Rhinolophus ferrumequinum: one gene and its partner. The protein of the gene in region 2 purifies or fractionates together with the protein of the main gene of each other region. This does not show direct contact. Links are inferred from orthologs where the notes say so. Each region holds a gene or a part of one and is shown on either strand. Other genes may lie near its edges.

Region 1 (15,174 bases), on a different chromosome or scaffold from region 2:
AACATTAATCAGTCTACATATAATTTTCCTTTCCCTGCTAATTCTCCACTTAAGAAATGGCTTCTTAATTCACCTTCTTATTCTAAATATAAACTCTTCTGTAGCAGAGGGAGTAAGAGTGTATGCTCTGAGATTCTGGAGGCCTGGGCCTAAATGTCTGCCTGCTTTACCACTTACTGCGGGACTTGGGAAAGTGGCTGAACGTCGAACCTCTCTGGGCCTCAGTTTCCTCATATCAAAAATGAAGTAAGAACACTATTACCTAACACACAGGGTTGTTACAAATGAATGACATTACCACATGTACTGTGCTAAAATTAGCGCCTGGACAATTCACAGTAATCACTTGTTAGTCATTATTACCGTATCAAACCCCGAAAGACAACTTCCTGAGAGGAGAAAGCGTGATAAAGAAAGTAACCTTCACTGGTCAGTAGTCTTCCGGTTACACAGTCAGGGGCAGAATACACCTGTTGCATCACTAAGAGTTCAAACAGTCTTATATCCCTCAGCCCAATCCTTTCCTAAATTAGAGGAGCAGCTAAGACTGTAGGCAAGAGGTGTCTTCAGAGTGGTACCATGTGAAGCAGAAGACTGGGAGGCTACGGCACTAATGTGACCAACCTGCTTCTCTCCTCCACAAAGTTTAATTCTACCACATTCGATGTAAGTGGGGCACATGGGAAGAGTGAACTTATTCTGTTTCACAAAAAAGGTTGCAAGAAAGCCTTCCACAATATTCTTCAGTTTGGAAAATCAGCTCTGTGTTTTCAAGATGACAGCTTTGCATGTTTTTAAGCTCTGAAGATAAGCCTTAGGAGTAACTTAAAAGTTACAGGTAAAGAAAATCTCATTTCCATATAGCCCAAATTGGTCTGAGTGTTCGATTTTCCTCACTGTTTTCACTTCCACTGAAACATTTATTCCTGTCTGTAAATTCGGAATCATTTAGGTGAAATCCTCTAACAGTTCCCTGTGAAGGAAGCCAACTTCAAACCATCACCAGCATTCATGAAGCATTAAGAAAGCCTTTCTCCATGGGTGTGACAGTGAAAATGAACTAGGCAATCACGTGTGCTCCATCTGAAAAAAAAAAATCAAATCCTGCAACCTGTCCCATTTAAACCTTGATTTAGGGCAACCCTCTAACTCTTTCAGGAAAAATGAAAAGAAAAAAAATCTTTAGCTTATAATGTTAGCGAGATTTGTTCTAAAAAAATCAACACAGGCAGTGTTCCCTGATCTAGAATCTCTGGAAATGCCTAAGAATTTGCATTCTGTCTCAAATGGGCCAGAAATAATGAACCTTCCCAAGTATCAGGTATTTCACTGCTTTAGAGTCAGTATACGAGTATAACCATTTAAGGCTGCATTACAGAATGTAATTCCTATATAGTGTGGAAATATCACATTTCAAATAATATAACACTTTCCTTCAGATTTTCATATTGTCCATCTTTACTGTTTAGTTCACTAGTTCTTAAAAAGATATACAGACTTTATGCAATGATAACACTTCACATTCTTAAAACTTATGTTCTGGGGGTGTCAAGTAGACAGTCCACAGATCACTTTAGAAATAGTAGCACCTCAAGCAGGTCTGTGCTGAATTATAGCTGAGTGGCTCCAGGCCTGATCCCTTTGCTAACACACACACACACACACACACACACACACACACACACACACACACACTTTTTTGGTATGCCTATCTCCTTTACTATACAAGTATTATTGAGTTCTTCAAGGACAGGGGATATGTTTTACTCTTTTTGTGCCCCCAAGTAAGCTAGCACAGTGCAGGGCACTTGAGAGGTGCTCCCTAAGTGCTTGTTGAATAAAAAGAGTGAAGAGCAAGGGGAGTGACCTATATGGTTATAAAAATGTTTTCCGCTCTTTGGTTTGTAGATGGTCTCATTTTACAGATACAGGGAAACGGAGTCCTATCATGGATGGATTCAGATATACAGTACAGTAGAAACCACGGAAATATCAACTATGGATACCAATTTTATATGCTCAATTTTAAATTGCTGCTCCTGTATACCCTGCTTCCAGCTTTCAAGGCAATGCTATTGCCAGCCTGGTTCCTGGCACTGGTTGGGATTGGGAGTAAAAATGATCTGGAAATGCTAACAGAAAACTGGAGATGCTCCAAGACACTGCCCAAGAACGACACAGACAGGGCTGGAACTGGAGGTTCCAGTATCACTGGCAATGCTTTCCGGTTCTCTGAAACGAGAACCAACACCAGTACTTACTTCCATATCATTCTCTTTTTCCTACACCAAGGACTACAGGAACATAAATACACTTATACAGAGTGCAAAGTTCACCCTCTAAACCAAGGATGAGGAATAAGAAATAAAAGGACTTTGGGCAGCCCAAGTCAACCATTAACAGAGAAGAGATGTAGACCCTCACTAGATCTATTTAGCTGTTACAATCAAATTCAGGAAGCAGAGTTATCTGGGTTGCTACTCCACAGAAGATCAGAAGCTGCAAATAAAAAAGAGGGCGGCAGGGACACTAACAACGACAAAAAAGTACAGCTTTCCTGCCTCTGAAAGAAGAGACAGATTAGCTGATAAAAGCATATTCAAGAATTCAAAAATCAGAGGGGGCAGGCAACCTACATATCTCAATGGCCTCAAAGCCCCTCTTGATTACTGTCAGTAATGGATGCTAGTAATGACCCTGAGTCAACAAAACAAAGGTTAAACTATCTTGTTTAAAAAGCAAACAAAGCATGGAATACATTGTAAAAATTTTTTCCACAAACAGTATAGCTAAAATAAGAATTTTTGCACATAATACTATAATATGTTCCCTAACAATAGTAGATAAATGGCGCACTGCTATATACATAAAGCAGAAAGTCAGCATTTGCAAACATGGAATAATGATATGACCTTACGGCCTCACCTGTACTTGGTTCTGTTACACGTTCATAATTTCACATTCCCTGACCTCCTTTTATTAGGTTGGTGCAAATGTAATTGCAGTTTAAAAGGTTAAAAATAATTGCAAAAACCACAATTACTTTTGCACCAACCTAATATAATGTACCAAAATTAACATCCTCCCCTCATTAGGATTGTTACCTTGCCAGAAATTACAGAGGCCCAAACACACCAAAGCTTAATACCTATTTTCTATGTCAGCCTCCATTTCTCATCTCACACTGGGATAACAGATGCACCCCAAGACTCAGTAGGTTCAGAGCCAGGCCTTTCCTCTTTTGCTTTTGGGTAAGAAAGACAAAATCGTAAAGTTCCATGGTTGCATTATACTGTCTTCTAGATGGCTCCTACCAGTCACGTGGACATTGTTAGTTGGTCAGAAGCTAGTTTCAGTTGCAAAGTAAGGTCTTGTGTTCTGTACCCCAGGTTTGTGCTGATGAATCCATTAGTCCTTGGGGGATACAGAGGCAGTTCAAGGAAGGAAGAGAGAAAGAGAGGGAGGCGTGGAATGAGGAGCTGCTAAAGCACTTCGGAGAGGTGCCCCTCTCCCACCATCAACACAGGGGACGAGAAGATGGACCATCAGAGTCAATAATACTGACATGGTCATTACTAAGAGCTCTCGTTCTTCTGTGAATGCAAAAATATCGACTACCAATCAACTGCTCAGTTAGCCTAGGCAGAGAAGGCTGCAGAAGCAAGTCTGGGAAGCTGCACCTGATGGAAGCAACACAGGCTGCTCCCAGGCTGCAGTTTGCTAGAGCACCATACAATCACACAATCAAATCTCAAGGCGGCTCCAGCAAGTAACACCCTTTACAGATACCCATCTCAACCTCATATTTTCAACAGGAATCTGACACATTTTTCTTGGTTTTTTTTTTTCCCCACAAAAAGAGAAACTAAACAATTTAGTATATGCATTAGAATATTTCCCCGACCTTCATACTGTTTTCCATTCATCCATTCAACCACCCAGTATTTCCTGCACATCCACTGTGTGTTAGGTGCAGAGAAAAAAGTACCTGTTATCATCACTATTACAACAAACTCTGTTGCCTTATTGCAACTATGCTCCCCACTCCATCTCCAAAACCACTTGGCACTTAGCCCCAGCGTGACCTGACATCAGCTTCAGAAGACCATCTCCTTTTTCTTGCTTGCAAATATGGCCACAGAATACAAAGAGCAATCTCCTGCTTCTATTATGTGATTATGGCAATCATTAAGAGACAACAACTTTGGTTACCATTTTAAAAAGTTACCCTGTTTCCCTGAAAACAAGACCTAGCCGGACCATCAGCTCTAATGCGTCTTTTGGAGCAAACATTAATATAAGACCCGGTCTTATAAGACCCGGTCTTATAAGTGCCTGTCTTATATTATATTAAAATAAGACCAGGGCTTATATTAATTATTGCTCCAAAAGACACATTAGAGCTGATGGTCCGGCTAGGTCTTATTTTCAGGGAAACATGGTATCAACTCAAGAGCTGAAGTATCTGGCTTCAGGGTTTACACCGCTGAAATGACGGTCACACAAAGTGTTCTAAGACGCTGAAGCCTGTCCTGTAAGTAAAGAAAGAAAAATTTCATTTAGAAATTCAAAACTCAGAAAAGATAAAAGCAGCTTTAGGGCTATGTGAAAGAGTTGGAGTCTACAAATACAAATCAAAAGAACATACTAAAAGTCAGGGAATTATCAATTCAACATAATTCTATGACATAAAGGATTAGATGATAGAAACAGTAAAGAGTGATGTTTGTTCCCTAATTCAAAGTACCCAGAAAGAAAAGCAGGGCATGTGCTTTCAAATTTTCATTCTTTAACCAAATCATAGCTATTTTTCTACTGGTTCCAGAGAAACAGAATATATCACTGTCACATTTTCACCAGCCACACTGAAGGAGAGCTGCGAGCTCCAAGATTTCTCGATCATCTTTTATTTCCATCCATTTCTATCAACTGCACTTGACTGTGAAGCTGGGTCTGAATTACTTACTTACAGTTTTTATTCTTTGATAAGCACTTTCAAATGAGGAAGTGCTTGTTGACTGATTCCACTGTATGGTTCTAAGGGCCAAAGTCCAACATCCTCACAAACTTCAGAAAACTTACTAATTTAACACAAAACATTAGTTTAATTTGAAGTCTATGTTAGATTGGCTCTGAATCTGGGCAAATAATTTAGCATCTTTATCATCTGTACCTCAGTTTCTCAAAGATATGCGTCTTGATAATAAAAAAAAAATATATGTCGTCTAAGTGCTCTAAGGCTTAGCTCAAAGGTCCTGCATAAACTCAACTGAACGTTTGAATTAATAATACATAAGCACTCAAATCCAATTTAAAAAAATCAACCCCAGTGAAATTTATGCATTACTTTACAACACAAGGAGAACAGGAATAATTAGTAAACAGCAATCACAATGACTAAATTACACATTATAAAGTCCTGCAAGTTAAAAGCTAAAAGATCCCACATTCCTATTCCTTCTTTTCAAGGTGAGAAATCAAATCTGCAGAGAGAAACTGGCTGGGTGGAGACGATACTGATACCTGACCCTCGATTCAAGCCGCATCTCTCATTTTCCCAGATTATAAACTCTTCAGCCGTCCAAACGATGATATATGGTCATTTAAAGGGCTAACAGTTTTGTAACCACAAACCATGCCCTGTCCCCTCCACTTCCCCTCCAACTTGCTTCTATTCCTCTTCCAACCAGAAGACTTGCAGGTAAGACGCCTGATTAGAATGAAACTCTTATCAGATCCCACAATCAAGGACGCAGCTTGACAACTGCTCGCATTCATCATTAATGAACGTTTCGGTTCTCAATCGCAGGGCCATCACACCCGGAAATAAAATCTCCAGCGCAACCCACTTTGGACTACCGTATCATTTCCTTAAGTCGCTCCCGATTGCGACCGCGGGCCCCGGGGCACGGTCACCCCGCCTCCCGCCTGGGGCCTGCCGGTCACTCGTGCTTCCCGGCCACGAGGTGGGCCCACGGGCGCGCGATCCTCCCCGGACCGCTGCAAAGGGCGCCCAGCGAGACACAAGGGCGGCACGGGGGCCAGTCGCCTCAGGGGACCGCATGCAGGAGCGAGGGTTGGTCACCAGAAGTACCCTAGACGGCCCGAGGCGTCCCCAGGTAAGGCCCGCGCCTCAGGCGGGCCGTGGAGGCGCGGGCCGAGGCCGCGTCCCTTCAGCCACGACCGCCCGCAGGAGCCGGCCTCGTAGCCAGCGAGGCAGGGCGCGCGGCCCGGGCCGCTGTCCGTCTGGGACCCGCCCGCGGCCGCCTGGGACGTCTGGGGGCACCGGTCCCCGGCCCCTCAGGGAGGCGCCCCGCCCCCAAGCGGTCCCTGCCTGGCGCGGGCCACGCACCGCTCCCAGCCCGCGTGCCGGCCGCACTTTCCCGCCCGCCGCGCGGGTGGCGAGGGTCGCGCACCCTCCCCCGCCCCCACGCTACTCACCTGCTGGGCTCTAGGCTCACTCCATGGCCGCCCGCGCCGTGCGGTGCGGCGGGGCCCCGGCCGCCCCCGCCGCCTCCGGGGAGGGGCCGCCCGACGCCGCACTCACCTCCCCCAGCCGCAGCCGCCGCCGCCGCCGCCGCCGCTACGGCTCCCGCCCACCCCTGGCCCAGCCATTCCCTGGCCACCTCTCCCGGCGCTGAGCCGGTTGTCCCACACCCACCCCCCGCCTCCGCGTCTCCCGTCTGTTGGTACCGTCCTAGCGTAAAGCCTACCCCACGACCAATCCGAGGGCTCATTCCGCGAGGCCCCACCCACCCACCCCGCCCTCCGGTGGGCGGGCCTATCGGCTCCGCTCCGGACCGCCCCCTTAACCCTTTCCGTTCCTGGCAGGCCCCACTTAACTCTTTCCACCCGGGCTCTAGTCTCACCTTCGTCCTGCAGCCCAGCCCGCCCTGCCCCGCCCACAGAAATTGAGCTCTCACTTCTTTCCCACCTTCGCTTTTTCCTGATTTCCCTAGGTATGTAGGCAGCTAGGTAGCGGGACTGGAGATTTGGGGGTCCCTCAGGTCAAATTCTATTTGTAAGAAGCAATTTGTCTCCTCCTTTTGCCCTTTTAATTTGCCTCAACATCTGCTTCTATGTAACTGCATCTCCTTGCGCAGAAGAGGCAAGCCTTCCTACAGTGAGCACAAATCGCTCCTCCTTCGGACCAGAGCAAAGCCCCCTGCGACATTTAGTTGTAACAAAATGGTGATTAGTTTACTGTAATATCAGTTGTTTAATGTCTGTCTCTTGAGATGGACTGTAAGCCCCGTGAGGACAGGGCAGTCGTGTCTGGGTCTCTAATACCAGACCCCAGTAGACTCCCCGTAAATGGTCTGAAAGAAAGATTCTCCCTCCCCTGAAGTTGTTTCCATTGACTCCATACAGGACATCCACTGCATAATATATCTGTTCATTTATTCACCCTGTACTAAGCTTGGACTTAAGTGTACCTGTCCCTGAAATACTATAATGCACGTTGCTCTGTGGGATAAGATGTGTGATGGAGGAAAGATGGAGCTGACTTCTTTTCCAGCCTGCATAGTTCATTTAAACCACAGTGTGTCATGGAAAGAATTTACTGACTGTATGATACTGGGTGTGCCATTTAACCGCTCACAGTATCTTATCTAGAAAATGAGAGTTAATCATAGTACTTATTTCACAGGGTTATTGTGACAACTAAATGAGGAAATGTGTGGGGAAAGGACTTGCAAATTATTGTATAATGTTAGTTATTACGCGTGTGTATTTACTGAGCACTTACTATCAGGAGATCCTAGAGAAATAATTGGATTATTTCAATTATTATTGAAATAATTGACTGTAGGCCCGGCCAGTCTACAGTTAGCTAATCTCCCTGAACCTTTATGATCAGGAGATCATAAAGCTGAAGGGCCAATCAACAGTTCCCCTGAGATGCTTTGCCCCAAAGGACTCTCCTTTCTTGCCGGTAACTCTGACAAGAGCAGCAAGGGTGGACTGTCCAACTGTAACTGCCGAGGAGAGGGCCAGCGCCACCTGCAGCCTCAGTTTCCTAGTGATTCCCCTGCCTCTCCCATCTTTAAGGAAATCAGAGGACGGTTTTCGGCTCCTCTGGGTAACCCACTCCAGTGTTTAATTTCACATCCATCAAATCTTTCCACGCACCCCACATGCTGCAGGACAGACGCAGTTTTTCCTCTTCTGTCCTCAAGAATTCAGAGCCTCCTAGCGAAAGATTTCAGATGACAAAATTGTTCTGTCCTCCAGTTTTCTCCTCACTAGGCCACATGATCCAGGCTCTTTGGGAATGTACACACAGCACAGCGCCTGGCACTCCAGGATGTCAGTCACTGTCCTCTCCTCCTGGGATGGGCCTTATTTCCCAACCAATCAACAGTCAGTATAGTCTAGGTATTGTGGCAGATGCAGTCATGTAAGAAGGGGACTCTGCCTTCAAAGAGTTTACATGACTACCACACAGGAAACAGCTGCAAGGAATACAGGAGGCTTCAATTATGCAGCACAGACTCTGTGATCGCTGAAAGCATCCAGGTCCAGGGGGGCAGAAGTGGGGCGAGCATAGATGGGTGGGAGACGAGAGGGACAATATGAACCAAAGTCAAGCAGTGCTATGTGAACTAAAGACAGACGTCCTCAGCAGAGGACACACGATGGGAGAGGTGTCCCTCGCTCCCTCCCTCCCTTCCCCCCTTCCCTTCTTCAGTGAATGTCTCCCAAGTGCCTGACACTGAGCTAGACCCAGGCGGTGCAAAGACAAGGAAGGCCTGGTTCTCGTCCTGGAGAAGGTTCCAGTCTAATATTGAGCAACAGAATGGAAGGTCAGGCAGAGCCCCACTAGGGTGGTCTGAGCACTTTGCCAAGACTTCCACGAAACTCTTTCACAACTCGTGGGATGTCTTGTGTTCTAGATATCCTTGTCTAATCTCCCCCTTTGTCTCTCTCTTCCCTGTCCCCACACTGCCAGGCTCTGAAAAGACACAGTCTGACTTCACTTCATCTTTATTTCCACCTGGGGAATGCCTGCCTCATGCAGGTCCCTTCTCTGCACTGTGGTGTTGAAGTGCATCGAGTTGAAATCAGAGCAGAAATCTGGCTGTTCCCCTCCAGCCAAGGGTGGCACACACACATCCTTAGCAGAGAAATCCCCCTGCAGGACTCTCCAGTGGCTTGTCCATGGCTTCAAGAATTCAATGGCAACTCCACTGCTTGGAATTTCCAATCAGTCCACCTTTCCAGGCCCATTTTCTGCTAACTCCTTACCCTCCACCCTAAAGGGCTCACTTGCTCTATGAGGCCGTCCCCTATCCCTGCCCCCATGGTTGTGACAATCTTCCTCTGGAAATCCCACCGTACCCCTCTCCCCCTCCAACTCCACCTGTGAAAAGGTTACATCTCTCTCAAATGCCAGTTGCTCATGAAGCCTTTCCTGACCTTTCTAACTGTGGGTGTTTAACCGGGCTTCTGAGACTCAGTACTTCGTTTGTACCTCTCTTGCAATATGGTTTGTACTGACATCTTTGGGGATATATCTGACCCCTTCCCCTGGGTTATAAGCCCTTCGAGGCTGAGGACAGTGTCTTCTTCATATCTGCATCTTCAGTAGCATGAACACCGTGCATGGTCCATGGCAGACACTCAACATTCAAAAGAGAAGTTTTAGGAGAACAGGTCCCACAGACATGGGAAATCAGGAGCACTGGAGGCTTTGTTCTTGGTCCTTTCATCATAGTAAGCATTTTCCTTAAGCTGATTCAGAATTTCCAAGTCTCTGACAGTTTGTTTGTCAAGCCCTGGGACAGCCATCCCATGGTATAAGGAGAGTATCCTCTCAAGATGCCTGCCTGCTCGAATGCAACACGTACCACACACCCCTCCTTCTGTTAAGAAAACACACCCACAACGATGGATCCTACTGAAACTAATGAAGTGAATTCTACATCAAGAAAGTTGAAGGGAGCTGTAGGAAAGCTCATGCTGTTCCAAGGTGCTAGGAGCCTGGGAAAGAGTCACAAGAGATTAGTGAGTGAAGGAGCACACGTATCCCTTCATTCCCTGCTAGGAGCACTGAGTAAGGAGGCATACACGGGTGGTTGAACTAAACTCACACCATCATCAACGGTGATGCTTGCATACCTATTCAGTGAAGTCAGTTGGTAGTAGGTTAGTAAGTTATTCTCAGGCAAATCCCATTTCTTTACAAGTTCAAGGAAAGCATTAGTTATATAAAAAAAATTTGATTCTGGTGGCCCTTTCTAGTACCTACTTGATGCTCACCTGGTGTGTTGTGGGGGGTAGTGGAGGATGGATTACTCCCTTGTTAGGTCCAATAGGGAGGGAAGGAGAGAGGGAGGAAGGGGGGGAGGGAAGGGGAGCAGAGAGAGAGAGAGGAAGGGAGAGAATGGAGAATTTGTCAGGACGGTAGAGAATTTTTATGAGAACATTTTATGAGAATTTTTATGAGAATGTTGCTTTTAAAAAGTGCTTACAGAAGGAAGCAAACCAACCTCAAGAGCACCAACAAAAGCAGATCAATGTCCTCCTTTCAAGGACCTCAAAGTAGTGACGTCTCGTGCAATGATGTACTGACCTTGGATTTAGGCCAGTCTCCTCATGTTGCTGACATAGAAACAGGTCCAGAGTTGAGTAACCTGCCCAGAGGAACACAGCTCGTTCAAGTAGACTCAGAACTCGAGATTGGATTCCAAGTCCGGTCAGGCCCCCTGATACCTACTGGACGTGGTTCTCTGAGGAGCTGGGATCACCTTCTCACCCCGCCTAGCCCTCCCTATCAGAAAGGAGCTCTGTCTCTGGGTCTGGCTAGTGGTTAACTCTTTCAACAGCATGCATGGCTTGATTCTATGGGTTGGACACTGTTTCCCACCGTGTAAGCACTCCCTCACCCTTCCTTCTCCTTCCAGCCTCTGGTAGGGGCTGGACGTGCCGAACGTGTTTTTCCAGCTTCCCATCCTGCTAGAAACATGGACACGTGACCCACCACACAGCTGATGGGACCTGAGAAGAAATCACCTGGAGGGTTTCTGGAAAAGGTTGTCCTTTTTACTAAAAGGAGAATGACAAGAGAAAATGCCTTTGGCTGCAGCTCTGTGAAGAGGTTATGTGTGCAGTCTGGCAGCCGCTTTACAACCGTGAGGTAGAAGCTAAAAACGAGGCCAACCCTCTAAAGAAGGCAGAAAGGAAAATTAGAAAGTACCACTCTTTTTTCTTTTTGCATTTTTAAGCTCCTGAAGTATAACATATGTAGAAAATTACACACATGCAGCTCCATGAAATTTCATAGATTGAACACCCTTGGGTAACTAACACCTTCTGATTACCACCTGCCCCCAAAGGTAGACACTGTCCCAACATCTAACATCACCGACAAGTTTGCCTGCTTTCATACCTCATATACATGGAACCTGACTGGACCCTGCCCGATAAGTCGTTTCCCAAAGGCATAGTACTCTTCTGTGTCTGGTGTCTTCCATTCAACAGTATGTCTGTGAGATGCACCCATGTCATGTGTAGTTAGAGATCATTCATTCTCACTGCCAAACAGAATTCCACTGGGAGGCTATGTGACGATTTATTGATTGATTTTTATTCTTGAAGGACACGTGGGTAGTTTCCAGATTTTTGGGGGGATGGGGGTGGGAGGCTGTTACAACTGGTGGCGCCATGAGCATTCTTGTGCCATCAAGAATGTTTGGGTTGAGCTAGGAGTGGAGCTGCTGCTGGGTCACTGGATATGCTTATGTTCAGCGTTATCAGTAGTGCCCCTTTTCAAAAGGGGTGGCACCAATTTACACACATACCAGCAGCATAAGAGTGGCAGCAGCTCCACATTCTTGCCACCTGGATCCTTTCTGAGCCATTGAACTCACCAAACCTGGAACCGTCTACTTGCAACTTGTGAGCGTGTCTGAGGAATGAACGGCTGGTCAGAGTCCCTGCTACATGCAGCCCGAGCTCCCCAAGTAAGGCAGCTTACAAGGGGAGGGGAGGGTGCTTTGCTCTGAAACGTACTTTCCCTTTAAAGGCCATCTACCTTCTGGCCCGTGGGTCACCCACCGCCATGGCTAAGGCCAGTCTTCAGAGCCTTAGTGTCTCCTTAGGGAGTGGCACGAGGCTGCCCCATTTTCATCACCACTGCCACCACTCACGGACACCTGCCTCATTTATCTCCTAGACTATGGCAGTAATTTGCTGCTGGATTTTCTCATCTCTCTCTCTCTCCCCACTCCAGTTTACTCTTCATTCCACCCACAGTATTAACTGCCACATGGACCTCACAGTCGAACTCTAAGGGCTCCAAGATGATCTAAAAACAACTGACATTGTTTTCTTTGATAGCCCATTTAGCGGCCCAAGAACACACTGAAAGCCTTCTTGGCTGATAGCCAACTCACCACCCAGTACAGTAACTACCATGAATGAGAACTTCTTTTGTTTGCCAAGCCTTGCTAAGGGCATCGCATCTATTGCCTCGTTTTATTTCTCATGATAATCTTAAGATCTTGGGGCCGGTTAGTAATTTATAACCTCTCAACTCCAACTCACCCTTTATTGCTGGCTCTGTGAAACTTATATTGGACCCTTTAGATTGTTTTCCTTTGCTGGATGGCACCCTGTTAAGCTTTGCCAGCGGAGGGTGCTGGAGAGGCAATGCAAGGAGGAAGGGGTCTTTCCTTCTTGGTTCTGGTGTGCCACTGGCAGATGGCCAGGGTCCTGTAGGGCACAGGGGCCAGCTGTGTCCCCCACCACCCCTCCTGGGGCTTCCAGGGAGACCCCGCTCCATAAATGGCTTTCCCTAGCATCTTAGAGGGTGGAGTTTGAGAAGTTTGGAGATTTCCAGCAAGTCCTCTGTTACTCAGCAAGCCACGACTGTGCCCTCTCCAGCCATCTGGATCTCAGCCCTGGCGCTCCATCTCAGCTGGAAGGGTGGTGGCTGGCCCTCATATCTGCTATTTTTGTGTCCTAGAAAGTTCTGTTCACTTTGCATTAGCCAATCTCTCCTTATGCCAATCCGCGGTTACAGTTAATAATTCTTTGCATTCAACTTTCTCGGTTCAAGTTACTGTCTAGTTTCTATTTTCTGATTAGGCCCTGATGGACAGAGTCCTTTTCCAATTACCTTTTGGTTTCGTTATTTATTTATTTTTTTTGGAGTTAATGACTGCTTTGTTTCATTTGTTCAGTTTTATTATTATTATTTCAATCCAAAAAGCTCTGCTAGTTGACTCTATCTCCTCCCTACAAACTGAAACATATATTTTAACAATTTCACCTCTAACAAATCCTTCCTTGGAGCTTGCTGACTTGCTCCCACGTAGACTTTTTTGCCCCTTGTGCCTGGTCTGCCTTCACATCATGCTGGAAAGCTCCATGGACTCTCCTATGTAGATCACATTTTGTCCATGTGCTTCCAAATTTTGTGCTTTTTGTCTCCTCTTTCTTCCTCCCTGTCTTGGCAGGTGTATGTATGCCTTTAAAAAAACACCCTTTGAGACCTTAGTTACAGCCCAGGTTTATGTTTCTTTAGTCTTGCTTTAAAGCACATTGTCATTTATTTGTTATAATTGTGGAGACTCTGTTTTTGTTAATATCACTGCTAAGATTCTAATAAAGAGCTTATTTAGGGAAAAACTCCTTTTGTTATTGTTTTAGTAGGGATTGAGGAGGAACCAAAAAAGCATACACACGTGTTTATTCTGCCATCTTTACCCAGAACTCCCTGTAAATATTATTTTAAAATCTACTTTTTATTTTTAACTTCATGGTATAGCAGGCATAACTTCCCACATTATTACATTCTCATTTACTACAACATTTCCTTGAACTGCTACAACATTTAAAAAGATCTTTGGTATTTTGTACTGGATATACGCTGTAATTCATTTAGCAGGCTTCCCTTGGTCAGGCGTTTAGGCTGTTTGCATTCATTTGCCACTGAAAAATTTTTGTAAGGGTTGTGGTGCAGACCCGCAAAACAGGCAGCCTGTCACACATGTGGCACGTTTACACACCCAGGGGCTCTGGAGCACTCATGAACTACTGGAATTATCTTCTTCGATGCCCCATCCCGATGCTGAGGGCAGAACATCCTGCCTGCCTTCTTAGCTGGCTGCCTGCTAACCAGCAGCTTACTCACGAAAAGGTAAAGTTTGTTATTTTCAACATGCCTCCAGTTTCTCCTCTCCTTTCTCCTCTAGCTTACATTTCACTCTTAATTTTGTCTTTGATATACGAAATACATCTATTGTTGGCTTTCCTTGCTTGCAAGTAAATAGTGTGCTAACAATGTGGTGTCTTTGAGTTCCTCTCTAATGCATACAATGTTTCTGTGTGCAGTCTCCTAGCTAAGTCAGTGTGCTGCTCATCCGGACCTTCTTCCATCGATAAATTGGGCCCTAACTTCTGGTGGGGGCTATGTTGCCATCTTAGCTTATCTGACTTCAGCACATGCCCTGGGGGAGAGCAGCTTTCAGCATCTCCGGTTATAAAAACGCACCAAAATAATGGCATACCTACACAGAAATCAGTACAGGATGCTCAATGGACAGCTAAGTTCTGGAGAAACTTCACAAGGAACATGAAAATAATTTTGACCCTTCAAGTCTTTACCCTCCTCCATGCACAAACACAGACTGGCAATTCACAAGTAAATGCAAGGTTTTCAACATCCAACGGTTTGGAGTAATGAAAAAAAAAGTCAGAAGTACAGCAGTCTATACAGTGCCTTTCCTTGTCCTTTCTTAAAATTCAAAAGAGGCTCAAGTTGAAACCAACAGGGCTGAGGCGGCCTGGGGACAGTGCTCCTTTCACGAATGTGAGTGAAGACTGGGTTTATTCATAGAACTTTCTGAGCAGTCAGACCACACCCTTTCTGGGCTGCGGCTTAAAGAACCGGAGGCTTAGGCTGGGCCTCGGGGGGCTGGGGGGATCGCTGACCTCCAGAGGGCAATATGGGGTCCGCTTCCGCAGCAGCCTTCCTTAGCATTATAGAAGCACCTTGAGGTGAACGCTTTTATGTCAGGTATGATCTGTCACTCTTGATGGTCAGGCTTTCAACCTGCATTTCCTGAGCTGTTGCCTTGAGCCAGGCCTGGGAACAGGGCACCAGTCCCAGGAGGAGACAGACAGGTACACCCAGAATCAAGACTTTTTTTGGGCTGCTGGCTCATA
Region 2 (14,917 bases):
AGAATTTCTCTATTAAAGGAATATGTAAACCAAATACAGTTTATTAAGTATAAAAGTTCATTTTTTCATTTAAAATATAAATTTTTAAGCTTAAGGAGCATTCTTATTGGTAATGTAATGCACTGTAGTATTAATTGTATTTTTACAGATTAGAGGTTTACCAAACAACAAATAAGAAGAGAAACAGCCTATTTTCTGTATATATCTGTAATACCTAAATTAAAACCTCAATATTTACTGGAGCCACAAACACATCAATTTCAAAATAAAGCCAGGCTCCCATCTCTGTTACTTGTCATTACATTAACTGGGAGAAACATGGGAATAAGCAGTCTCTTGGTGCTGCTTCAAAAGGAGCCTCACATGAAAATAAAATGCCCTAAGCAAAGATTAATACAACCCTGATTGATACCATTTACTCTGATTAACGGCAGAAAAATCATGCTCGTAGAAAGTAGGGAAAGTATGCTTGGACATAAAGGCGTTGGGCCAAAAGTTTAACGTAACAGAACAAACATGACGCATTTAGAGTCTTTTGAGACTTACATGTAAGCTGACACTATAATAGTTCATTCTTTAAATATCAGAAAAAATGCCCAAATATTTCCAGATTTAATCAAAATAATTTAAAAGTACAATTTTAAAAGATAATCTCAAATGATCTATACAGGGATCAGATGGTCTAAAATTAGTAAGTATCAAATATTATTATGACTTATAAGATGAACCAGTGAGTGTTTTGGCCACACTGTGAAAGAATCCCAAGACACTGAAAAGTGGTTTCAATAGGATAAAATTTTGTTTAAAAGGTACAAACAGTTCAATGAACTCTAAAAACTGATTTTTGAGATCCTGTATTTCTCATACTTGTGAAACTACTCTTAAATACACCTGAAAAAATAAATATCAAATCTTGCAAAAATATGAAGGGAATATTATTTGTATTAATAAAGGAATCACAAAATTCCAAAACTCAGAAGTCTTTATTATACTTTAAGTCACTAAAATCTTAGCACATCTTGAAATTCTGAACATTTGTTGAATGAATTTCTCAACAGATTTGATATGCAGAGATGGTGTATACTCATATCTCTGCATGTACAGTAAGAAGGCATGTATATATAGTAAGGAGAATTTTTAAAAAAATTATACATCTCGATAAGTATTGTAGTTCAAAGTAGAGACATTGGGAAACTTATTCCAAAAATGGTACACATCTATGTTATCAATCGTTGAAGCCAGTTTAAAAGCCACACAAAAGTCAGTTCCATCATTTTAAACTTAAGTATTTCACCCAAAGTGTATATTATCCAGCTCAAGTACCTACCTGTTTTTGAAGATAGAGTGAAAATACTGCATTAGGATTCTTGCCTCCAAGCTTTAGAAACATCAGTAACTGATTGACTATCTTTAAAACCGAACTTTACTGGACAGCTCTTAAAGGTTACAAAATTGAAATGTGCCTGGAAAATCAGGAATGGAAGAGAGAGCACCAACAGGCTAGGGAGAAAGAAGCTCAAAGAACCATGTCAGAGAACAGTCTGATCTCAAGGAATAGTCTGATACACACACCACACTACTCTGGTAAGTCTCCAAAAGAACCTCACAGTCTGTTCTGCTCTCAAGAGCCAAACAAAGCTCAGGAAGAAAACATCTGACTGGAAAAGTCTAGGTCTGGTTACACCACAAAAGGGAAAGAAGGAGTAAATGCTTCAACAGGGCATCCGGGGCTACACGCAATGGGGCATGCCCTAAATGCCAGTCAAAATTGGGGGAAATCTTGGTGAAGAGTAAAACGATAAACGTCCACAATAAACGTCCGCAACAGTCCAGTCAGAACCACCGTGGCAGAGGACTGCTATCTCTATCCATTAGAAGAGAACTCTGGGGCTCAGAGAGCTTAAATAATTATGTACAACAATGGACGCACCTCAGACCTGGACTACACAACCTCTTTCAATTTCTGCTACTTCACAGGATCACTCTAAATTACACCTGGTCATTTAAAATAATCAAACCCAACCTTAAAGCACTAAGATTTGCCAACAACAAAGATATTTACAAGTACATGACACCAGTTATTTGAGGTGATAGTGAGGCGTTCTGAAAACACTCTGACTACTGGAGTCATCTATGGAAAATTAAAAATATTGAGAGGAAAGGAAAATACCTGGCTCCTTTGCTGTTCCTCCCCCTTAAAAGGGGGAGATTACAGAAATCTTGCTTGCTAATCATTAGGAAGTTGAATTCAAGTTTAAACCTATGTACCATCCTTGCTGTGGCCTCTGAAGAGTTAGGTCAATACCTGTGTCACTGAGGCTCCGCCCAGGCTGAGCACCAGCATCCCAAGAAGGGCTCAGGCATCTGTATTTTAATGAAAGCCAGAAAGGAAAGTCATTGGTAAAAAAACTGAAATGTGTACTTACTATAGAAGGGAAAAAAGAACTTCTCACAATGACTTTAGAGTCACCCCATAATAGGTAACGTGAAGCCAGACCATTTGCTTATTGGCAAGCTGAGCCTTCTTCCATTCAGTAAAGAAGGGAGAGGGAGAACACCAGATTCAGGATTCAGGATACAAGTCAAAGTAACTTTTTAAATATTGTAGATTATAAATGAGAAGGAACAAATGACAACCTCACACAATATGGATGAACCTCACAAACAATGCTGAACAAAAGCAAGACATAATGAAAAGCTCAAAAATTGGCAAAATTATTCTATGTTGCCACACAGCAGCCTACCCGTCTGTCTCCTCGTACCTGCCCCTAAAGGAGGGTCGGTGAGACAGATCCTTTCAGGGACTTTGCTTCACCTTTGTGTTTGCACCTCATGCCTGTTTGGCCCCAGAAAGATGGCTGGTCAGCCAACGACGAGTAAGATTCCCCATGGGGGGGACAACTCAAGCCAGGTGTAGTCGAGTGGGGACCAACAGGAGAATCCACGGGGTTCACAGAGGTGGGCACAGTCCTCCACCTCCCCCTGTCTAAGGAGAGCCTCTGCCTCTGTGGCTGCATTCCTTCCCACAACCTGCAGGGGAAGTGACTCAGAGATGTGTTCTCCATCTATTCATATGCATAAAGGTTTTGTCCCTTGGGAAAGTACAGACATCCTGAGACTTACTGTTCTGCTGCCTGCAGGCAAGGGTGACTGGCTTGAATCGGTTTCCTATTATAATGTATGGGATTCACAGATCTTGAGATTGACAAGCTTTATCTCCTTTGCTTCCCCACCTAACTAATAAAACTATGCGTAGGCCCAAATAGGGGCTCAGTCCTTGATGCTGGAGTCCCTTGGCCCCTCTTGCACTCTATTCATGGCTACTGTCTTTTCTTAACCCTGCGCCGCCCTCCTTGCTCCCCACAACCCTGGTTGTGCAGGATGCGACAGTGCTGAATTCTAAAGTCCTTTGAGGACTAGGCAGTGAGCGGAAATCAAACAGGGCTTTTAAAGAGCTGATCATGTTCTGGTTCTTGACCTAGATACTGGTTTAACAGGTATGGTCAGTTTGTGAAAATTCATCACACTTATGATATATATACTTTTCTGTAGGTTTATTATTCAACAAAAAGTAGTTTCAAAATGCCTTAAGTGTCAGCTTTTTTACAAAGTCATTTCACAATTTCTTTAAAATTCTTTGATTATTTTGATTTCATATCAGTGAGATCACATATACAGAGGGCACCAAAAAAACTGTATACACATTTTAAAAAAGAAAAAACTATTAAACTTGTAATAATATATATCGATAACCAAAGATGAATACAAGTCACGTTTGACTTCTGCAATTGCAGGAGGTGCTCAAAGTGGTTACCATCAGCGTCCAGACATTTCTGATTACAGTCAACTACTGCTTGAGCAACGTTGACCAAAGTGTCCACTTGTGTACATTTTTTTGGCACCCCCCCATATAAAATGTGTCCATCATTAATGACCTGCCTAACCTTAAAGTTTAGCTTTTAAACATCTTAAGAGTACCCAGATATTACAAATATGGATGCTAAGTTAAAATAATAAAAAATTAAAGTAATAAGTTATGAACTTGTTAATATCAAAGTAGTAAATTAAGCTCTAATATTAACAAGCATAAATGCCTAGGCTCTAGGTGAGAGAGTAATTCCTACCCTTAAAGAGTGATACAAGTTGAAGATAAGGGGGGTGTTGGGGGTGGGGAGAACCTCCAAAAGAGAAAAACATGAATGGATGAGTTGACAGGGATGGTTATTAGTATGTGAAGACATGAGGACAGGAAAAAATATATAGGTTGATTCCTAAAACATAAATTTAAAGCAATGTAAAATCCCAAAGCCACCCACCTCCACTTCAACTCCCTGGACTTGCCTGAAAAGGGGGGGATAATCCCTATGGGGTTGTTGAAATCAGCAAGAAATACTCAGAATTAGCTAGTGTTTGGATCTTGGCCACGGACATGGCAAAGTATAGTGATTCCTGACACAAACACAACAGGTGGTTTCAATTACCTGCCACCAAAGAACTTTAAATTGTTTGAATTTTTTAAGTACCCTTAAAGCTTCAACATATAAATTCTTTAGCTTATCTTCATGAAAACCAATCACAGGGAAGTAGCATGTTACTATGCTTTTGCTTAAACATTTAGAGTAACACATACTTGAAAAAACAAAAAGGCACTTTCTCACCATAATTTCTCACGCAGTGTGACTCAAAAGTCCAAAACTTTGGGTTTTAGTTTTTTTAAGTTTTAGTTTCACACAAGACATAACCTCACAGAAAAGTCTCAGGAAGTATAAACTAAAATATTCACTCAGAAATACTGATGACTTCTTTATTTCATTTTGTTTTTCTAAAATGGTACTTTTGTCCTGGCAAGTTGATACTTTCTAAAATCATATTTCTAGGACACTACACATCTAGTTTGTTTTTCTAAACAACAAAAGGGAATTTCACATACAGACTGATTTCATCATAACTCAGTAATTAATAAACAGATACGAGACCCACTTCACAGCCAGAGGGACATAACCTTTTTTCATGTCATCTTAGTAAAACCTGAGCAAATGAGAAACCTAGATATTGCAAATGCTCTAGGCAATTCTATCAAGGTAAACTTTAGTTATCATTAGATTACTAAATATCAGGAATCCACCAACAGTCCATATAAACCTCACCTATATCTGATTTTAAGTTTTGGTGAAGTAAGACTAAGTTGTTTTATGAGGATTAAATTTTTTTGCCCACCTTTGTGAATTGGGAAAACTTTCTTAAAATCAAAACAGATTATGGTACACCTGAAACTAATATAATCCTGTATGTCAACTATAATTTATTTAAAAATAAATTTTCAAAAAGAAAAAATAGGTATTTTTCTGACTCTCAAAATGTCTGTGGTTTCCATGCTGAGATAAAATAAGCTCCTGAAACCACTTTAGCACATAATGATTTAGACCAGAGGAGTCCAAACTTTTTTCAACGTTTTTCACCAAGGGCCATATGCGATAAAATACACAAACAGCCGGGCCACTCACTCCAGGTGAAGTACTATTGCCTCACCTGGTCTATTTAAGTAAACTAAATATATTTTTGGAATTTGCTGCGGGCCAATAAAAAATGGATTGCAGGCGCAGTTGGCCCACAAGCCGCAGTTTGGACACCCCTGATTTAGACTAATCCTCTCTCGACAAACTAACCATCTCTCTCATTGTCTGCGGGTTCTAAACATAGTCATTTTTGTTGATAGGTGGATATGTGATAAAGCAAAAAGCGCAAAATGTTAATGATAAAACCTAGGAGGTGAATATATAAGGTGTCCACTGTAGCGTTTTTTTCAACTTCTCTTTATGTGAAAATTCTCGTAAGGTATTTGGGTGAAAATAATCTTTCAAAGTCTGAGTACAAAGAATTCAACTTTAACCTACCTAAGGCTTTGAGGCCTTTCATCAAATCACAAACCTAGCATTTCAAGCACCCCACGAAAAAGCCCTCCCTTAAGATGGCAAGACTTTCTGGAGAATAGTCAACTGGTAAAACGTAAAAGCGCGACTAAAAATAACCTCACCCAAAGCAAGTTTACCTAGAAAGTCATTTTCCGAGAGTTGTCACGAGAATTTTGTTGGACTTTTAACTTTATCAGTAAAACAACTCTGCCTCCATTAACATTTCACCGCAATTTTTCAAAATTCCAAACAGTACTCCTTTAAAAAAAAAAAAAAAAAAAAAAAGGTCTCCCAGAAAGCAGATCTGTGGAGCCCTCCCAGGTCCTAAAACCCGCAAAACCCAGGAGTTCGGGGCGCTAGTGGTTCCAGGTGTTTCACTCTAACGGGCAGGTGGGGATTGTAACCGGGGGTCTACATGGATTATTAAACACGCGGAAAGGGGTGAGGAAGACATACCGACTGCCCGGGAGTCAAAATAAAAGGAGTGATGTGAAAGGAGGAAGGGAAAACCGAAGCAATCTGCGGGGAGGTTCTGGAAGCACCAGGCCGGCTGGGCGCTGCCGGGCGCGGCGCTCGGGAGCTCGGAGGCAGAAGCACGGGCCCCGCACCGGCCACCCCAGCCCTGCTCGCACCTCTCGGTCCTTGAGGCCCAGCAAGAGCACCTCCTCCATCAGGGTCAGCCGCGTTTCCTTGGAGTCGCCCTTGTCGTCTTCGTCCTGTTCGTCGCGGCGGCTCTGAGCGTCCTCCTCGCCGCTGCCGCCGCCGCCGCCCGCCGCCCGCTCCTTGTCGGCAGCGTTGCGGGAGGCCTCCGTGCGCCGCTGCACCAGGCCCGAGCTGCGCTGGGTCAGCGAGGTCATGGCTCCCCCCTAGGCGCCGGGCCGAAAGGGACGCGGACCTACCGGGTCTCCCTCCTACCCCCCCGCCGCGGTCCCCGACCCGGGCTTCCGTGTTAAATCCCGGTGCTGGGGCGACGTCCGTCGGCAGCGGGGCGGGGGGCAGTCATGGGGAGACGGGCCGGGGCGAAGCGGATGGGTCGGGTGTCCGCGGGCGAGAAAGGGGCTCCTTCCTTCCTGCGGCCGCAGCCCCGGAGGCAGCCCGAACACCCAGGCGGCGGCGGCAGCGGCGGCGGCGCTTTTCCAATATGGCGGCGCTGGCTGACGTCACCGGAGGATGTGGCACCGCCGGCTCTGGGCAGGACCGGAGGGCGCCGGAAGCGGCGGGCGGGGACCGGCGGACTCCGACCGTCTCCCGGCCCACGGGTGTGCGCCGCGTCTCGCCCTTTCCTTGGCGTCCCTTCGCCATCCGGCCCGCGGATCCCCTCCCATGACGTGTCCTCCCTCCGCAGGTCTCCCCGTTCTCCCCACAGGAAACCCGGGCTGGAGCCACGAGTCGGGGGAGCCGTGGCCTAGCAAGAGTGGACTCCGGTCAACCTCCAGCTGTGCCCTTAGCTCCCCAGACATCACCATCCTCGGAGCTGGCCTTGGCCGGGGTTGCAGGGACCCGGCTCGGAGTTCGGAGTCCCCACGAGACACAGAAAGGACTTTGCTCGCTGCAGTTGGAGCGAGGAGAGGACGCGTTCTCTGCCCCCATTGCTTGACCCTTCAGAAGGAGCAACTGCACTTAGATGGCTTGAAAGTGGACTTCGTGTTTTCCAGGTGTATTACTGCATAAAAAGAGATTAGAACAGATGGAATAGTTTTGTTTGTAAAACTTTTCTCCTCGCCCCCCGACTTGTAAAGTGACCAGGGCGCAGTGAGTACAGTTAGTACTGCCCATGTCAGTAGACGCGACCTTAATGAACTTTATATACAGACAATAAACCTGTTGAGTTTCATGCCACGTCTTTGTGCACATTAAATCTCCCTCGATTTAATTACTAGGTTAAATCCTTTTGGCGTGCTTGACTGTGCAAGTTATGTTAAAGAATAAATGTCAAAACTGAGAGGAGTGTTGGAAGGGTGGAGCTTGTAGGTAAAACGTTATCTAGAAATGGAATTGCATACTATTTAAAATCAACAATGACCACAGGCTTTGACTGCAGAATGGTTTAGATAGAAATATATTGTTGTAACAGGACTTAAGCTATAATAAATGATTAAGCCGTAAAGCCATCCCATAGAAATTCTGGCTACAGATTTCTCCCCCTTCCACAAAACCATTATCCAGAACTACCGGTCACACCATCACCACCTCAAGCCCTGGAAAGTGAGAATGCTTATTCTACCGGGGTGGGGAGGAGGGAGCAGCGTGAGCACAAGTAGACCCTCCCTTTTTCCTGTCATTCTGGGCAAAGGTCTATTTCTCCTCAACCAATTTCTCCCATTCATATCCTCTTCGATTTTTTTTTCTTTCTCTCCCAATTCTTTCCCAAATAGCCAACATATTCTCTGATACTCTTCCTCTCAAAAGGGGAAAACTAATTCCCCTCCCCTTGTGTGGGCCAGACTTAGTGACTCTCTTCAAACAAATAGAATGTGGCAAGTGTGACTGTGTGACCTCTTCGGCTAGGTCATAAAAGTCTTTGCTGCTTCTTTCTCTCTCTCTCAGATCATTCACTGAGGGAGGCCAGCAGCCATGTCATGAAGATAATTCAAGCTGCCTTATTGGAGAGGTCCAGCTGGGAAGGAACAGGCCTCCCCCCCACGGGCATGTGAGTGAGCCATCTTGGAAGTGGATCCCCCAGCCCCACTCAAACCTTTAGTTAACATCTTGATAGGGACCTCATGGAAGATTCTGAGCCAGTACCACCCAGCTAAGCTATTTCTGAATTCCTGAGCTTCAAAAACCATGAGATAATAAATATTTGTTGTCTTAAGCTGCTAAATTTGGGGTCATTTGTTATGCAGTAATAGGTACTAAAATACTTGGACACGTATTCACACAAATAGGTAACTAATATTATTTTCTTAGATATCCTTCCCAAGCAAACGTGAAAATGTTTTTCTTCTCTTTGATGCAAATAATAGCATATTATCCACATTGTTTTGTATCTTGGTATTCTTTTCCCACTTAATTGATGTTGGAGAACTATCTATATCAATACTTAAGAGCTTTGTTTCAGGTGCATATTCTATTGTATAAACATATCATATTTTTTTTTTTTAGTCAATCCCCTATTGATGGACATTTAGGTTGTTTCTCATTCTTTGATATTATAAACAATGCTGTAATAAATATAATGACTAGCCACATATATTTTGCCTACAAAAATAGGCACCACTCTTCAAATCATTGAGACTTTACATAACTTTCTGTTTTATTTTTTTTTCAGTTTTCCTAGCATTGCTTCCTTGCTTATTTTCCACAAGGTGGACTTCAAAATCACCTTGTCTAGAAAGAACAAAAAAGAGAGAAAGGAAGGGAGGAAGGAAGGGAGAGAGGAAGGGACAGAAAAGAATATGGCATTTTGAGAACCAAAACATATTACTAATAACAATGACCGTTTATTTATTGACTGCTGACTTTGTGCCAGGCATGTTCTCCAGTAACCCCCAGCAGAACCCTCAGATTTGGTGCCTCTGCTGTGCTATACTTCTGTGTGGACTCCAACCACCTCCTGAAGCGTAGCCTATCAGCACCACACCCTATGCCCATGTGGGGCAACCTAGAAGTGTGCAGGAGTCAGCACTTCACCCCAGTACATAAAAGTTCCCCTTTTTCTCCCCCAAATGGATTGTTGAGATCCTTTATACAACTTCTCAGTGACACTTAGCTACAACAAGCTCAACAACACATTCTTTTTTTTTCCAACTTTTATTTATTTTAAGTGTGGTTTTCCAGGACCCATCAACTCCAAGTCAAATAGTTTCAATCTAGTTGTGGAGGGCGCAGCTCAAAGTGGGGTCCACACGGGGATTGAACCAGCAACCTTGTTGTTCAAAGCACCGCGCTCTAACCAACTGAGCTAACCGGCCGCTCTCAACAACACCTTCGTGATATGGCTCTCCCTCTTTATTCTTCACTCCCCCTCTCCCTTGTTCTTGTTTCTAGGAGATGTACTCTCTAACAAAAAAGTAGCACAAAAGCCTTTGTCTTAGACCCTGCTTTCTGGGCATCCCAGATTATGACACCCATGTTACTGGTGAATATACTGAGGTTCAGAGAAGTTAAGTAATCTGCCCAAACATAACACATCTGGCAAAGTGCAAGCCTGCATTAGAAGCCAGGTCCTTAATAAAATCATTGAACAAATATTTGTATTTATATATAATGGCTGTATGCCATGCACTGTGATAAGCAATGACGATATCATAGCAATACAAAAGAGACACAGCCATAGCATTTTTCATGAGGCTCTTTAATGGAGGACATGGACATTAAGCCAATCATCACACTAATTAATGTATAAATTGAGAAATGCTTTGAATACAGAAGGAATACAGTATTAGGAGAGCATGCACTCTCAAATATCTGAGAGACATACATTTTATCTGGGACTCAAGAAAGCAACTCTAAAGAAGTAATAAGCTAAAAAATGAACAGACGTTAACTAAACAAAATTGGGGTTGGTCATTCCTGAGAGGAAATAGCATGTACTAAGGGCCCATAGCAAGGAGAAATCATGGGATGATGGAGAATCAAACCAAAGACCATTTTGGCGGGGCTGAGGGGGAGAGTGTTGTCAAAAGCAATAGTGACAAGTGTCAAATCTTGCAGTGCTGTGCGTCCATCTTAAGATTTGGGTTTTTTCCCAACCAAACACAATGAGAAGCCACCGAAAGTACTTTCAAATGCCCTGTGTAGGGAAAAATGGAACGGGTGGGTCTGTGATATTATCAGATTTGCATTTTGAAAAGTTCACAGGATTCACCAAGGAGGTAGTCACAATGGATACAGGAGACAATTAGCTTTTGCAGTGGTCCCTCAGGACCTGACGGTAAATTAACTTTGATCATGGAAGAAGACAGATCCCTAGTGTGAATCTGGTAATATAATGGAGTTTTCTATAATGGCAAATAATCACGGGAGGGCATTTATTTTCATCATTGCCATATTCTGTGGGTTAGAAACAGTCATTAGTTTCAGCCCATGCTCAAGAGGCGGGGATTATACAAATGCATGAACGAACACCAGAAGGCAAGGCTCACTGGGGTCACCTTAGGGGCTGCCCACCGCAGCATCTTGAATCCTTTTGGAGATGGAGAGTATGTGAATTAACAAAATCGAACCTATCTTTCAGTATTTTCAATTACCTTTTTTCTTTATTCAAAACGCCCTACAAAAACCTGTGTACAAGTTATTTACTGCTATGCAACAAACCACATCCCCAAAAAGTGGCTTAAAACAACTATTTGCTCATTATTCTACAGTTTAGTAATTTGCACTGGGCTCAGCTGGGCTGTCTGCTGGTCTCCCACAGGGTTACTCATATGACTGTCGTCAAACTGCAGCTTCACTTGAGCCAGTTGATTTCACATGGCCTCACAGGTGGGGATTGGTGCTGGCTGTAGGCTAGTCCACATGCCTCCAGCAGGCTGGCCCCGTCTTCTTCACATGGCATCTGAGTTCCAAGAGAATCTGCAAAGCTCACAAATTTTCACTTTTATTTTTGCCGCATTCTATTGGTCAAAGTAAGTCCCAAGATGAGCCCAGATACAACAGGTGGGAAAATAGACCTTACCTCTTTTCTTTCTACAGTTGTGCAAAGTTCAAACCTGAGAATCCTTCAAGATTTATCTGACAACTATTGCAAAGTATCCATATTCATACCCAAGAGCATTTCTTAACTGGTTAAAGATATAATGGCATTTAATGTTAAAGTAGTTGATCTTTACTTGTATACAATAAGCTAGTGTATATCTACATATATCTGTACTATATCTATATGTCTATACTATATCTCCAGAACCAGGAAAGAAAACGTTGGTAAATGTGATTCCATAAAAATCAAAAACTTCTGCATGGAAAAAAAAAAGAAAAAAAAAAACTTCTGCATGGGGAAAAATATCAAAGTCAAGATACATAGCAAATGTGGGGGTGGGAAGGAATAGTCATAGAACATTAACAGCTCACATAAAAATACAGCTGGCTCTTAAATATAAAAAATAATGCTTGACTTTATTAGTAATAGGAAAATCATATTAAAACTACACTGATAATACCATTTCACCAACTAGTTAGAAAGTTTGGCAACACATGTAAGCAAAAGTCTGGGGAATACCAGAACTAATAACATACATTGCTCTGGAAGTACAAAATGGAGGGCAATTTGGTGAATTGTGAATTCATCAAAATTCCGAATGCATTTACCTTTTGATGTAGCAATCTCACTCTATCGCCAAGATTTATCTGCTAATCTATGAAATGACATATGTACTTGGTTGTTCATTGTAACATTGTAGAAGTGAAAGAGGGGAAATAACCCAAAGTTCATCAATAGGAAATTAATTAAATAAACAGTAGAACATCCACACAATGGAAGACCGTGTACTATGAAAATGAATGAGGGAGTTTTCTGTGTGTGCTAATATGGAAAGATCTCTGACATATACTGTATAGAGAAAAATACAAAGAGCAGAACAGTTTATATAATATGCTACTTTTTGTATAAGAAAAGGGAAAACAAAGAATATATTTCACGTTTATATATACATTTTTAAAGCGCTGGAAAGATATAAAGGATACTAACAAAAGGAGGTTACATGATTTGGAAGATAGAATAAGGACACAGAAGTGAACATGTAGGTGGTGCATTTGTTTTCTCCATGTGGCATAAACATTTTTTGAATCTACATATATATGTATTTTTATTTATATTCAATTTTAGATTTATTTTCTCAAAATATCAGCTCGATTAAGATTAGATTCATATACAATATAATTCACCTATTTAAATTGTTCAAGTCAATGGTTTTTAGTTTAGTACAACCATTACCACAATCAATTTTAGAACGTTTTCATCATTCCCCAAAAAACAACTACCTATTAGCAGTCATTCCCCTTTGCTCTCCAACCCCACTCCCCAGCCTAAGGCAACCACTGATCAATTTTTTGTTTCTATAAATTTGCCTATTTGCATATTCTGTGGGAGTGTCAGTTCCTCTTTTTTCTTCTCTGTGCACAAATTTACAGCCACCTCTACTTACTTTGCCCCACTGCCTGTCCAAACATCTCCAACTGCCATCATATACTTCATTTAGCGTCATTTCTATAAATGCTCTGTATCAGTAACAAGTGACTTTCTGCCAACTGCCCCTGGCCATTCCTAGCTGACATGGAATTTCCTGAGTAGCTTTCTTCTCTGCCCCCTCCTAAAGTGGAGAGCTCCCTCCCTCTCCTGCTATTTTACTTGTCAAAGTAAAAAAGAGCTTTTCCAAGGTATATCCCACCTCCTACCATATTTAACAGACAAAATTGTTGTGTTATTTTGCATTTATGTAGACCTTTTCTAGAAGCTCACAATATTCTTCAGCACCAAATGGCCATTTTTACAATAACCCAATGACGTTTACCATAACAGTTCTTCCATATTTGGTCCTGCTCTATTACCTTCTCACCACCAAAACCCCTCCCCACTAATTCACTAAAACAATTCAGAAAATATTTCAAATGAATTTTTCACTAAGTAGAAAAATCTCTTCTGAATAGAGTATGTTTAAACCATATGAAAAAGCAATAGGGTTCATATACAAAACACTAATTTTAATAAAAATTTAATTAACTAAAAATACAAATTATTATTTTAACTAAATTCTTTCTACCCAAATGAGGATGAAAGTTATTTTAACAGGTGACATAATAATGTTCATAATAATCTTAATAATGTCTATAGCTTCTTTAATTCAAAATCCCAGTAAACTTTACCTTGCATCATTTAATTAATAAATAAGATAGTGTGATATAATTAAATATTTCCTCCATTATGAGAGGTTTAGGTAAGTCAAATGTAAATAAGTAATAGATAATCCGAAAATTTTTTTAATTATTTTTTTTTGCATCTGCATTTAAGGTAAGAGTTACTAGGTTTCGGACAATTCATTATCAATCAAACATAGAGGATCCGACTGAGGAAGATCTGGGAATATTAGTTTCTCCATCTTTACATTTGCTTAACTGCTATTGTATTCTGCTTCAGATCCAGTAATCAGCTCTGTCTATGCTATTTCTCAAAACCAAGAGATGGCCTACATCTGCCCTTGGTCCAGTGATAGGGTCTATATCCCCTCCTCTTGAACCTGAGTGGCCTTGACGCTGCCTCAACCAACAGGGCATGGTGAACTTGATCTCATGGAACTTCTGAGGGCATGTCATTAAAATATAATGCACACCTACTTTGTTTTCTTTGGACGATTGCTTTTGGAACCCAGCCAGCATACTGTGAGGAAACCCAAGCATCCTGTGTAGAGGTCCACCTAGAAAGGATCCGAGGCCCCTGACCCACAACCCTGGCCGAACTCCCAGTAAACAGCACAAATTTGCCAGCCACGTGTGTGAGCCATCTTAAAAGTGAATCCTCTAGCCCTCCAGTTGAGTTGTGCCAGCTGGTGCCATGTGGAGCAGAGATGAGCCATCAATTTTGAGAAACAGATAACTGAAATAGTTATCAGAAATAGATAACAGAAACACAAGGTGAGAAGAGTTTCCTTGGCTTATAATTCTCTAAAGCAGAGTCTGGTATATATTTAGATTCAAAGGACTTCCCTCCTCTTGCAGTAAAACCACCAAGTCAGTTATCATGAGGAATTGCTAACTGTCAACAGAACTCTGAACCCTTCGTCAGCTTCCCTCATCCGAAAAAGTAATTTCGTGAAAGCTGACTCTCCACTCATTTTACAGGCCAGAGATTTTACATAGGAAGCGTTAAGTCACCAGTGGACAGAAGGGCCAGGAGCAACATGGCTGAGAAAAATAATCAGGTTAATGCAGCAGTCATGAAGAGAAGAAAGCGGATGTGCTCTCAAGTGACAATGAGAGAACCCTCCAATTGTGAGAGGAGAGCAAAACAAGTCAAACCAGGTAAATGGCCCCAGCATGAATTAGAGGAGTGTCACAGAAATCATCCTCAT

Evidence for each region.
Region 1: the proteins of GOLPH3 (region 2) and FAM20B purify together in Homo sapiens (affinity purification with mass spectrometry; 3 studies listed by BioGRID and IntAct, with this or other methods). This does not show direct contact. The link is inferred for Rhinolophus ferrumequinum from reciprocal best matches to the Homo sapiens genes GOLPH3 and FAM20B.

What each region holds. Positions count from the first base shown.
Region 1 is NC_046305.1:12,112,888-12,128,061, reverse strand, and holds the start of FAM20B (glycosaminoglycan xylosylkinase), read right to left. Parts: upstream 6,562-15,174; 5' UTR 6,442-6,561; intron 5,546-6,441; exon of another isoform or gene 5,524-5,545; intron 1-5,523. UniProt on the Homo sapiens protein: Responsible for the 2-O-phosphorylation of xylose in the glycosaminoglycan-protein linkage region of proteoglycans thereby regulating the amount of mature GAG chains.
Region 2 is NC_046290.1:21,194,118-21,209,034, forward strand, and holds the start of GOLPH3 (Golgi phosphoprotein 3), read right to left. Parts: upstream 7,051-14,917; 5' UTR 6,770-7,050; coding exon 6,545-6,769; intron 1,447-6,544; exon of another isoform or gene 1,391-1,446; coding exon of another isoform or gene 1,328-1,390; intron 1-1,327. UniProt on the Homo sapiens protein: Phosphatidylinositol-4-phosphate-binding protein that links Golgi membranes to the cytoskeleton and may participate in the tensile force required for vesicle budding from the Golgi.